Linked DNA regions of Daphnia pulex. The protein of the gene in region 2 purifies or fractionates together with the protein of the main gene of each other region. This does not show direct contact. Links are inferred from orthologs where the notes say so. Each region holds a gene or a part of one and is shown on either strand. Other genes may lie near its edges.

Evidence for each region. The genes of interacting proteins can lie anywhere in the genome.
Region 1: the proteins of actin-related protein 6-like (region 2) and ruvB-like 2 purify together in Homo sapiens (co-immunoprecipitation; 7 studies listed by BioGRID and IntAct, counting the BioPlex papers as one, with this or other methods). This does not show direct contact. The link is inferred for Daphnia pulex from reciprocal best matches to the Homo sapiens genes ACTR6 and RUVBL2.

What each region holds. Positions count from the first base shown.
Region 1 is NC_060021.1:8,103,476-8,108,382, forward strand, and holds ruvB-like 2, read right to left. Parts: upstream 3,014-4,907; 5' UTR 2,918-3,013; coding exon 2,912-2,917; intron 2,805-2,911; coding exon 2,691-2,804; exon of another isoform or gene 2,631-2,690; coding exon 2,510-2,630; exon of another isoform or gene 2,491-2,509; intron 2,439-2,490; coding exon 2,288-2,438; exon of another isoform or gene 2,249-2,287; intron 2,219-2,248; coding exon 2,056-2,218; intron 1,996-2,055; coding exon 1,866-1,995; intron 1,770-1,865; coding exon 1,671-1,769; intron 1,596-1,670; coding exon 1,483-1,595; intron 1,412-1,482; coding exon 1,191-1,411; intron 1,126-1,190; coding exon 987-1,125; intron 920-986; coding exon 805-919; intron 737-804; coding exon 708-736; 3' UTR 502-707; downstream 1-501. Other genes in the region: uncharacterized protein LOC124194162, read right to left, coding at 3,682-3,834, 3,923-4,057, 4,127-4,174. UniProt on the Homo sapiens protein: Possesses single-stranded DNA-stimulated ATPase and ATP-dependent DNA helicase (5' to 3') activity; hexamerization is thought to be critical for ATP hydrolysis and adjacent subunits in the ring-like structure contribute to the ATPase activity.
Region 2 is NC_060023.1:9,662,689-9,666,964, forward strand, and holds actin-related protein 6-like, read right to left. Parts: upstream 2,895-4,276; 5' UTR 2,836-2,894; exon of another isoform or gene 2,803-2,835; intron 2,727-2,802; 5' UTR 2,719-2,726; coding exon 2,639-2,718; intron 2,578-2,638; coding exon 2,460-2,577; intron 2,399-2,459; coding exon 2,206-2,398; intron 2,142-2,205; coding exon 1,949-2,141; intron 1,878-1,948; coding exon 1,670-1,877; intron 1,597-1,669; coding exon 1,334-1,596; intron 1,253-1,333; coding exon 1,123-1,252; 3' UTR 1,091-1,122; downstream 1-1,090. Other genes in the region: carbonic anhydrase 2-like, read right to left, coding at 3,100-3,333, 3,400-3,627, 3,689-3,794, 3,862-4,012, 4,079-4,234. UniProt on the Homo sapiens protein: Required for formation and/or maintenance of proper nucleolar structure and function. Plays a dual role in the regulation of ribosomal DNA (rDNA) transcription.

The DNA of each region.
Region 1 (4,907 bases), on a different chromosome or scaffold from region 2:
AAATTGTTTTGGTGTTGGCTGTGTGCACACACACACAGCTCGCGAATACGGTGGCGTGTGTGTGCGGGACTGCTGCACGACTGAAAATGTAGGTCAAGGCCTCGCTCTGCAGTGAGCCAGGGCTCTCTCACGAACCGAATAGTGTGGGCGGCGTTGCCGAAAAAGTCTTTTTTCGCCTCCTCTTCTGCTGCTGTGTGTGTGCTGATTTCCCTTTTCGCTGGCTTGACTTGCGACGGATTTGACACGAAATTATTGCGGGTGCACTCACGGACGACTGAGGGTTCGGGAGCGACGCCTTTACCTCACCAGGTGATGCGTCTCTGATTGGTGCACCTCTCGAGGGCTCGGGTGTTGGCGGGTTATACATGGTGGTAACTTCTTTTTCTACCCTCCCCTTCTTTTTCGTGGTAAAAATTACTTACACAAAAGTCGTAACAAACGGACGCAAATAAGCGACGAGTTTAGGACATTCAGAGCCACCTATCAACCGAAACTAGCAGCTTGACCGAAAGTGTTTTTGTATTTTTTGTCTTCTTTTCGGGTGTACACAATTATTACGAGGCGGGAAGAAAAACAGTTTAAACAGTACGTGTGAGTGTAGTTGTTTGTTTTTTTGGCGTCTTTTTTATTTTGACGGGATTATTTGATAGACGATACAAATGTGGAAAAAAAAAGCTTTTTCATTCAAAATGGAATTTTGAGTTAAGTTATGATGTCTCCATGGCGACGTCAGATTCTGTAAAAATGTTATTTTTCAATGAATACACAAAAGAAAATCTCAGACGTAATGATTCAGGTACTTACTTGGTTCGTCCTCTTCGTTAAACATGAATTCATCTTGAATGTCCTTCAGATACTGGGTGGAACGGGTTTCATCCAGGAATAGCGTGTACGCCTTTTTAATATCTTCTACGGCAATCTATTTAGATAAGAGCATAAAGCAAATGATTAATAACGTGCTGTCTGAATACAGTCTGAATACCAACCTCCATGGCCTTTCGTTTGCGAGCTATGAGATTAGCAACCGTGATGAGCTGAATGGCATAGCGTAAGCTAGTTTCCAAGGAAAGCCTCGTCAAAACGAGTAGAGCATCTTCCGTCATCTCGGCGTCTTCCTCTTCGCACCTGTGCAAAGAAAATATCAATTAAGGCAAAGCCAACGCATCAAATAATTGAAATGATAATTTTACCGGATTTTCAGAATTTGCTTCATTTCCTTTTCCACGTACGGCTGCGTGGCAATGATCACCATCCGATCAAGCAAATCAATTGGGATGCCGTGGGGACTCCGATATTTGGTTCCGCGAATTTTAGTAATTCCACGATTAGTGGCCATAATCAACACTGGCGCCATATCATCTTCCAGAGCACGATTCAAAAATGAAAAACATTCCATGTCTAGCATGTGCACCTACGTCGAGACATGACGGTACGAATAAATATATGCAGGAAGGAGAATGGTATGAAGATTTAATCACAAACTTCATCAATAAATAAAACTCCCGGGACGATTTCCGCTTTGCCCTCTTCGCGCCATTCGGCGACTTTGCTATTGATCTGGTCCCGGACTTCGGATTTGATTTCACCAGTATCCCCTATTGAATGCAAAACAAGAGATTTAATTTTGTAAACTTTCAAGGTCGGGAAATTAAAAATGTATGTGAGCTCACCAGAGAAGAGGGCGAGAAAACCCTGAGTTCTGCTATTGATTACGTCAATCTCGTGCAAGGTGACTGTGTGAGTCACTTCTTTCCGCTTTTGTAATTCGCCTACGTAAATAGAATAGGAGTGGTGTAAGAATATCGTACGATGTCGTCGTCGTCGTCGTAAACCACTTGACCAAAACTGGAATTTAAATAATATACCTTCGGGACACTGAACAAATCTGGTTTGCGGTCCAGTTGCGTCGTAATCCCTAGCCCTAGTGAACGATCGTCCGAGTTTCGAGATCTTGCCAGTGGCTTTGTCGATGGTAATGACGTCTCCAGCTTGGGCCTGAACCACACAAAGATATGTATACAAAATTGAAACACTTTTGTCAAACAAATTACACACCTTTTCCTTGATGAGGGATTCAATCATTTTGTTGCCCAAATCGTACACAGTTTCCATGTCTGTTGTCTTTAATGTCAGCTTTCCAACTTTAGCACCAGTTCCGGTAGCAGGTCTATCAATTTGAACTTCAACAACCTCACCCTCAATGATCTCAGTTTCTTCTCTGTTGAAAACAAATGAAAAATAAGGTTACAAGATTTCTAGGTTGAACAAATTTTGAGTTCACATCTACTTGATTCGAACTCCAATAGATTTTCGAAATGCTTGAGTTAGAGCTTCAGTTTTGCTCATTTCAAGGCTGTAGATTTCCGATCCGGCCATGGATGTGAAAGGTGTGTTGTCCCCGAGAGCCTGTGCCATACCCATGGCAATTGCAGTTTTGCCTAAAAAGTAAACCAAAGTGTTATAAACCAAATAATGGGATGTTTATTGCAGATTCAAAGACAATGTTAACCTGTTCCTGGCTGTCCAGCAATCAATACTGCTCTCCCCGCAATTTTTCCTTCTCTAATCATTTCCAGTACCACACCAGCAGCTCGTCGTGCTGTCAACTGGCCAACCATGCCTTGGGACACCTAACAATCATTTTGATATGTAACTTGTACGATTCTTTTATTCAAATTATTCAAAAGTACTTCTCTTGGTTCCAAAGCATCATCAAGTCCAAGACCTCGAATGTGAGAGTGAGTACCGATTCGTTCAATTCGAGAGAATTCTCGCACTTCTGCTACTTTAACTGATGGGATCGCCTAAAAAATGAAACGATATGGTCCAGAAATAAAAAAAGCACACAAGGGAAACGGAAAAATTAGCCATTTTATCCAAAATAAAGAATTATAACACGTGTATATATTACCGCCATGATTTGCTTTTTACAGTGCGTTGAGTTTCCTATCCTTCCCGTTCAACGCCGGTGGTATCCATGGAAACGGTTTTGAATTGATTGTTCGCTTTACATTCTTTTTTAAAGCATTTGTAATATTATACATCAACATTAAATTTTATTAAATTAAATTATATGAAATTTTAAAACACTTATCGACTTATTTACTACTTTCCTCGAATCTTAAAAAAATTATCAAACATGGCAATGCTGATTTTAGCTCCAACTTTCAAAGGCATAAAAAGGAGCAATGATTTCTTGACAAAAGCTCATTAGCTAGCCTAGTGGCTGTCTGAAACACATCTTTGGTGTCGATTACTACTTCAACGCAAACGTAATCAAATTTTTTTTTAGATTTTTTATGCATATATTCGATTATGATTGTTTTACACAAACCATTTAGCATCTACTGACTTTTTCCAAATGAAAATTTTAGAAAATGTGGAATTCAGAATGTTATAAAGTAAAATTTGTTGGATCAGAGACACGTGCATTTTCAGGACAAACGTTAAGTGAATTCAGTGTACATTGAGTGAGACATAGACTTAGAGAGATTTTCATTTTTGTAACGGGATTCCCAAACGGGAGAGAAAGAGACTTGTGTTACTTTTCACATGGAAAAAATATACCTCGATTTTTGTAAATTTTCATTCTTTTGTAGATGAACAGTTTCATGGTTGACATAGTATTTTAGCAGGGTTGTTACTTTAAATGTAAATAACAAAACAATTATACATTTTTGATTAACCGTGTTTCGCTGTCACCGTCTTCCGTAGTGTAGGTGTTATTCCGCCAGTAAAGTAATCTAAATAGCTCAACAAAACCAACTGAACACTGTTCTTTACCAATTTGCCAGCTAATTTGGTTGTTTTTCTAGGCAAGTCTTTGTCTGAAAGCTAAAAATGGGAAGTAATCGTTCAAAGCATTAGAAAGAGACGACAAAAAATGTGTGCAAATCAATTTGCCATTATATTTATTACGTACTATGTTGTTGATATATATAATCCTTCGGTGAAAATTGCCGCGAAGTCCCAAAACGTGATATTTGTCAATTTTTCTTCCTTCTTCCGCAAAGTTAATTGGGGGCCTGGCTTGTACTACTTCCAGCCGATCTGCAACCTCGTATGTAGTAATTGTTCAACGAATGATTAAGAATTCATTAATTATTTCGTAAAACAAGAGGCTTACCAAAAACGACAAAAGCAGAGCTCCGAATAACAGAGTCTGGGACACCATGTCGCGATTTTGGTTTTAGTCAAAGTGGCCGAAAAATTTAGCCAGGTGTTTGTTTTATACCGCCAAGTTTGTAAAAGGTAACACCTGAAGGCATTGTTTCACTTAAAAAAGAAAATTCTGCGACCCATTTATCAAAGGAAAAAATCCCCTATTCCCTTGGGTGACGAAAACCAAAACTTGATATGTAAATGAAACAAGTTGGTTGTTTTTCAAAAGGTTAAATTGGCAACTAGAAATCATCAGATTTCTATATGTAGATTTATGTTTATACAGTCGCTTTGATGGTATAATAAATTCGACGTTGTCTTTCGACAAGTTGTCCGTCTGATGGCTTCATCGAAGCAAACGTGTAATCATTAATACAAATTGATTCTAGTTACGCTTATCTTGTTCTTTTCACGACAATAATTCAAATACTACAGATAAGAAAATATTCTGCGTAATCAATTGCCAGGTTTATTCAGGATAATTTGGACAATGGGAAGAGGATGCGTAATCCACTTTGTAGACCGGTTTATTCGGGGCATTCCCCCGAGAACTGTAATTGCAGACGTAAAACTGTTTGTAAGGTTGTCCGGGCGTGAAAGGATATCCGTTGTAATCGTCGTAGTATCCAATAGCTGCACAGCCGATGTGAGTAGTTTCAGCCCAAACCATTTGCGTGTAATGGCCAATAACTTTACCGTTGTTTCCACTTTGGCAACCACTTCCAGCGATGCGAGTTCAATATCAA
Region 2 (4,276 bases):
ACCTATAATAACAATATTCGGGTAACAAGCTTGGCTTCAAACTTTGTATCGGTCGCTAAACGTAATACTCTCCGCAGTAGGCTATAGACTAATACCCACGAGATTAGTATACGGATATTGTGTACGACTCCACCCTCTACTAAACTTTTGTTTGGCTTCTGTTTACAAAACAGAAAGCAGATGGAACAAAAAGAAAAAAAGAATAACAAGCTCCACATTGTGATCTGAGACGACTGGTCTGAGGAATTTGACTAGCAAAGCGAAAAAGTTAATACTTTTTCCAAGGAACCGTTACACACAATTTATGATGCCTTTTGTCAACCGTTGGTCGGCAGCTGGTTTAATACTCTGGGAAAAAATGGAGAAACATGAACCTTATGGACTGTGGCTGATGTATCAAATACGTCGAGGAAACGAACAAAAAGCTAAGGCGTTGACAACTTATAACTACTGCTTTTGTGGAACCCCATTCAACCTAGGCTTAGATTTACACTTGTTCAAATAATAATATTTACTACCTAGTTCAGCATGCTTCCAGCAACATGTTTCCCATAACAGAAATAAATCCCACACAATTGTCGAAAAACACTTTCTCAATATTCTAAAAGACATGTATAAACAAGAACTACTAAAAAGTCGTGATTCTCAACTTACCAAAAATGTGTTTGCTTGTTATCGAGATATTCCCTACCGGCTAGCTGCTCACTCGACGAGAATCAACACGTGCCAGGCTGCCAGCACTGGAACGTTTTCAAGTAGAGTGGGATATATGTTTTGTGAATTTTTCAAAACCGCAGTAGACACTTGATTACAAGCAACCGCTATTTTATTCTCTCACGATAGCAACACTCTTTTGAGATAAAACGTCTCAATAAATACCGTGACGCAGTTTCACCAGCACATTCTTCCACTCAGCTGTTTTTCACACTGATTTGTGCAATGTCAGCCGGGTTGAAAGAGCCTGAGGCATCTTTTTCAAACCTAGTGGTAATATTTTGCAACAGTTAAATAATAAAAACCAAAAACTTTAAAAAAAATAAAATAATTGAAAAAAATAAAATAAACATGAAAAAAAGACGAAAAAAGATGAAAAAAAAGAAATACATTTTATTGTTGAAAAACTCATACATCAAAACGTTGAAGACATAAAGAAAATCCATGTTCTTCATATTCTCGACGTGTTACCAACTGAGAAGAAAATTGAGGATCTTTAGTTAAGCTACATCCTCCTCGCCAGGCATCTGTGACTGGACTATAAGGAGTTGAAAGATGAGATATTGGGTGATGGTTAATGTCGATTCAAATAAATGAATGGTAAAATATTGTATTTTACTTGGATGCCATGTTGATACGGACTTCGCACTCGGCCGGAGCCATCGTCCTAACATCTTTTTCAACCCTTTCTTTGAAGTTGAGCAAAGAACAAGATCCGCCGATCAGCAAAATATTTTTGTACAAATGGCTTTGAACTTCGGAAGGAAATTGTTCAATCACGTGAACAATGGCTTCGGATATTCCCATTTGCTGGATTCCAATGTCAGATGGATGAAACAACAGTTCTGGGACAGCGAAACGTTCGTTATTCATCCTGATAACCTAGCAAGACGAAAAGTGTAATGTATTATAACATTTGAACAAAAACGTCTGGCATCAGCAAAAAATTTCAGACCTGTTCGCCGGACCCTGCTTCGTCCTTTGGTCGCACATAGCCTCTACGAATGGTTGTAAAATCAGGAAGGATGTAGTCTACAACGAACGGATTGTCTTTTCCTCTCTTTTGAGACAACGCCATATCGCTATTAAAATCTGTGGATACAATGCAAGTGTCTTCTTTCAACTGGTTGATAACGTACGTTTCATCCATGACGTTCAATTGCCTGTAAATGGCAATTAAAACATACTATTTTAAAAACTTGTTATTTATTTATAACTTGTGTGTGAAGGTTACCTATAGGAAATTATGTCTTTCAGATGATTGGTTAATACCTTGCCGCCAATTTCAATCCTATGAACAAATTCTGTGATTTTCTTTCCTTGTACATAAGGGATTAAGTGTGTGAAACTGTAACCACAGTCTACCACCAAGCAGCACAATTCAGAAGGGTTCTCTTTTCCATATTTGTAGGCACTCAAAGTTCCAGCTGTAATAACATTAAAATTCCATGAGGAAAAGATTAAATTAATTAACCAGAGACAAAAACTCACGGTTAATTGTCAGGAGAGATTCACACTCCACTTCTTCAAACCAATATTCACATATTCCTTCCTGAATAGACTGGAAATTTAGATATGGCTGAGTCAAAACAAGTGAAGTTGAATTGATGTGAACATTAAAGCAGTCTTTTCCCATCAAGTAATCCCAAACATCTTTCTGAGTGTCCCAATTAATTAGATAGCCCTAAATTAAAAAGATATAGTAAATTCATTTTTATAAATTGTGAAGTAATTAAGTTGCATACTTTTTGAACAGGGAGTATATAGTAGAGACCAGAAACATCCCGACATTCATCAAGCTGGTCACCGATGAAAGGCCTCCTTCTTTCACTTTTTGCTTTCATTACTGCATTTGGCATGACACTATTGAGGGTGGATATGGTTTATACTAAACGAAAACATTATGAATCTTTGTTATATTTACCGGGGTTCTGCATTATTTGCAAAACCGGCTTTGATGTTGAATCCTCCATTATCCAACACAAAAATGTGCTTTGCAGCCATTGTTGATGCTAGTGGGAGAGAAGGAAATGCATTTTGTATCAATATTAAGCTGTTACAATAACTTTTTACTAAATCAAAACATACATTATTAGTTTTGGAGTAAAATAAGAAAAAAACCTTTCAAACGCTGCGTCGAAAAACGAAAAACAATAATAACAAATGAGCAAATGCGCAATTTAGTGAAGTTGTCCCAGTTTTATTTAATTCGTTCATTTCGGGTCGACAATCAATGAATCAAGTAGATTTTCGATTTATTTAGCTTCATTAATATTTATGCAGTTTAGAATTTCGGGTCGACAATCAATGAATCAAGTAGATTTTCGATTTATTTAGCTTCATTAATATTTATGCAGTTTAGAAAAATGAAATAATGCGTCACTGTTATAAATTTACACCTAAAATGGTTAGGAAAGAATTTGCATAAAAAGAAAATACGCATGTGCTATATTGATAGATGTCGACGATAGGTGAGGAAGAATGAGACCAGTTTATCGTAATATGACATCCGGAACGAGATCTATATGTGACGGTGCGTCCGCTCAACGACTGAACGGGCCGGTAATTATTTACCAAAGTTAAACTATCTCTTCCTTTTAAAAGTCTAAATTTCGATAGCTGTAATTTTTTTTTTTGGATAATAGTATTAAAACAAAAATACTTTAAACATGAAGGAATCTCTACCTGGCTCTCGGAGATAGTGATGGAATCATCAAAAACAGTCCAGATAATAATTTCCTCACATCCGGGCGTTGTAAAAGAACCGGAATAGCGGAAGAATGTGGTGGTTCGAGACGGTAATAAATCTTTAAATGAAATCAGATTTACCAGTGTCGTTTCGTCACCGTCTTCGTCAACTTCATTCAACTGATCAACGACAGCTCGGAATGCTGAATTAATCTTTTTCCCTACCTTTGACATTTGTTTTAGAATAACTCGAATAATATTAAGAAGATTAGCTAAATTAACAAACCTTAATGAGAACACCCAAAACGGCTAGACCGTCATCATATTTCGTCGCTTCGGAGAACGATCCGTATTTGGTATTATAGTGAACCAAGTGAAGTTCAGCCGAATATCTTTAAAAATAATTTAAAAATAATCATAATTTCCACAATAATTTAAAAAATTAAATTAAATGTGCACTTTTTAGATTTGATTCGATGCTCGCTGCCGTGCGATGAATCATTTCCCCAGTGAAAGTGAAATTGAACGAAATTGTATCGATTTGATAATCCGCCGCCGGTAATAAAGGGTATAGACTCTGCCGGAATGCTCGAGGGAAGGCTAAACAACACTGCGCAAGCCACAATATATAAAAACATAAAACAACAATAATAATTTTATTCGTGTATCCTCTTACCTGTGTGTCCATTATTGGTAACAGTCATCCGGTCGATGTTTCCGTAATTTCCAAAGTAAAATTTCGGGTAGGCTCTCAAAGAGGCCGTCTCAATGTTGATTGGCGATTGAAGGTTACTGCCACATGTTGGAAATGAATGTTGCCAAGCCTCTGGGTCTATTAAAAAAAATTAATTAATTTTAATATTAAGGCTTGAGA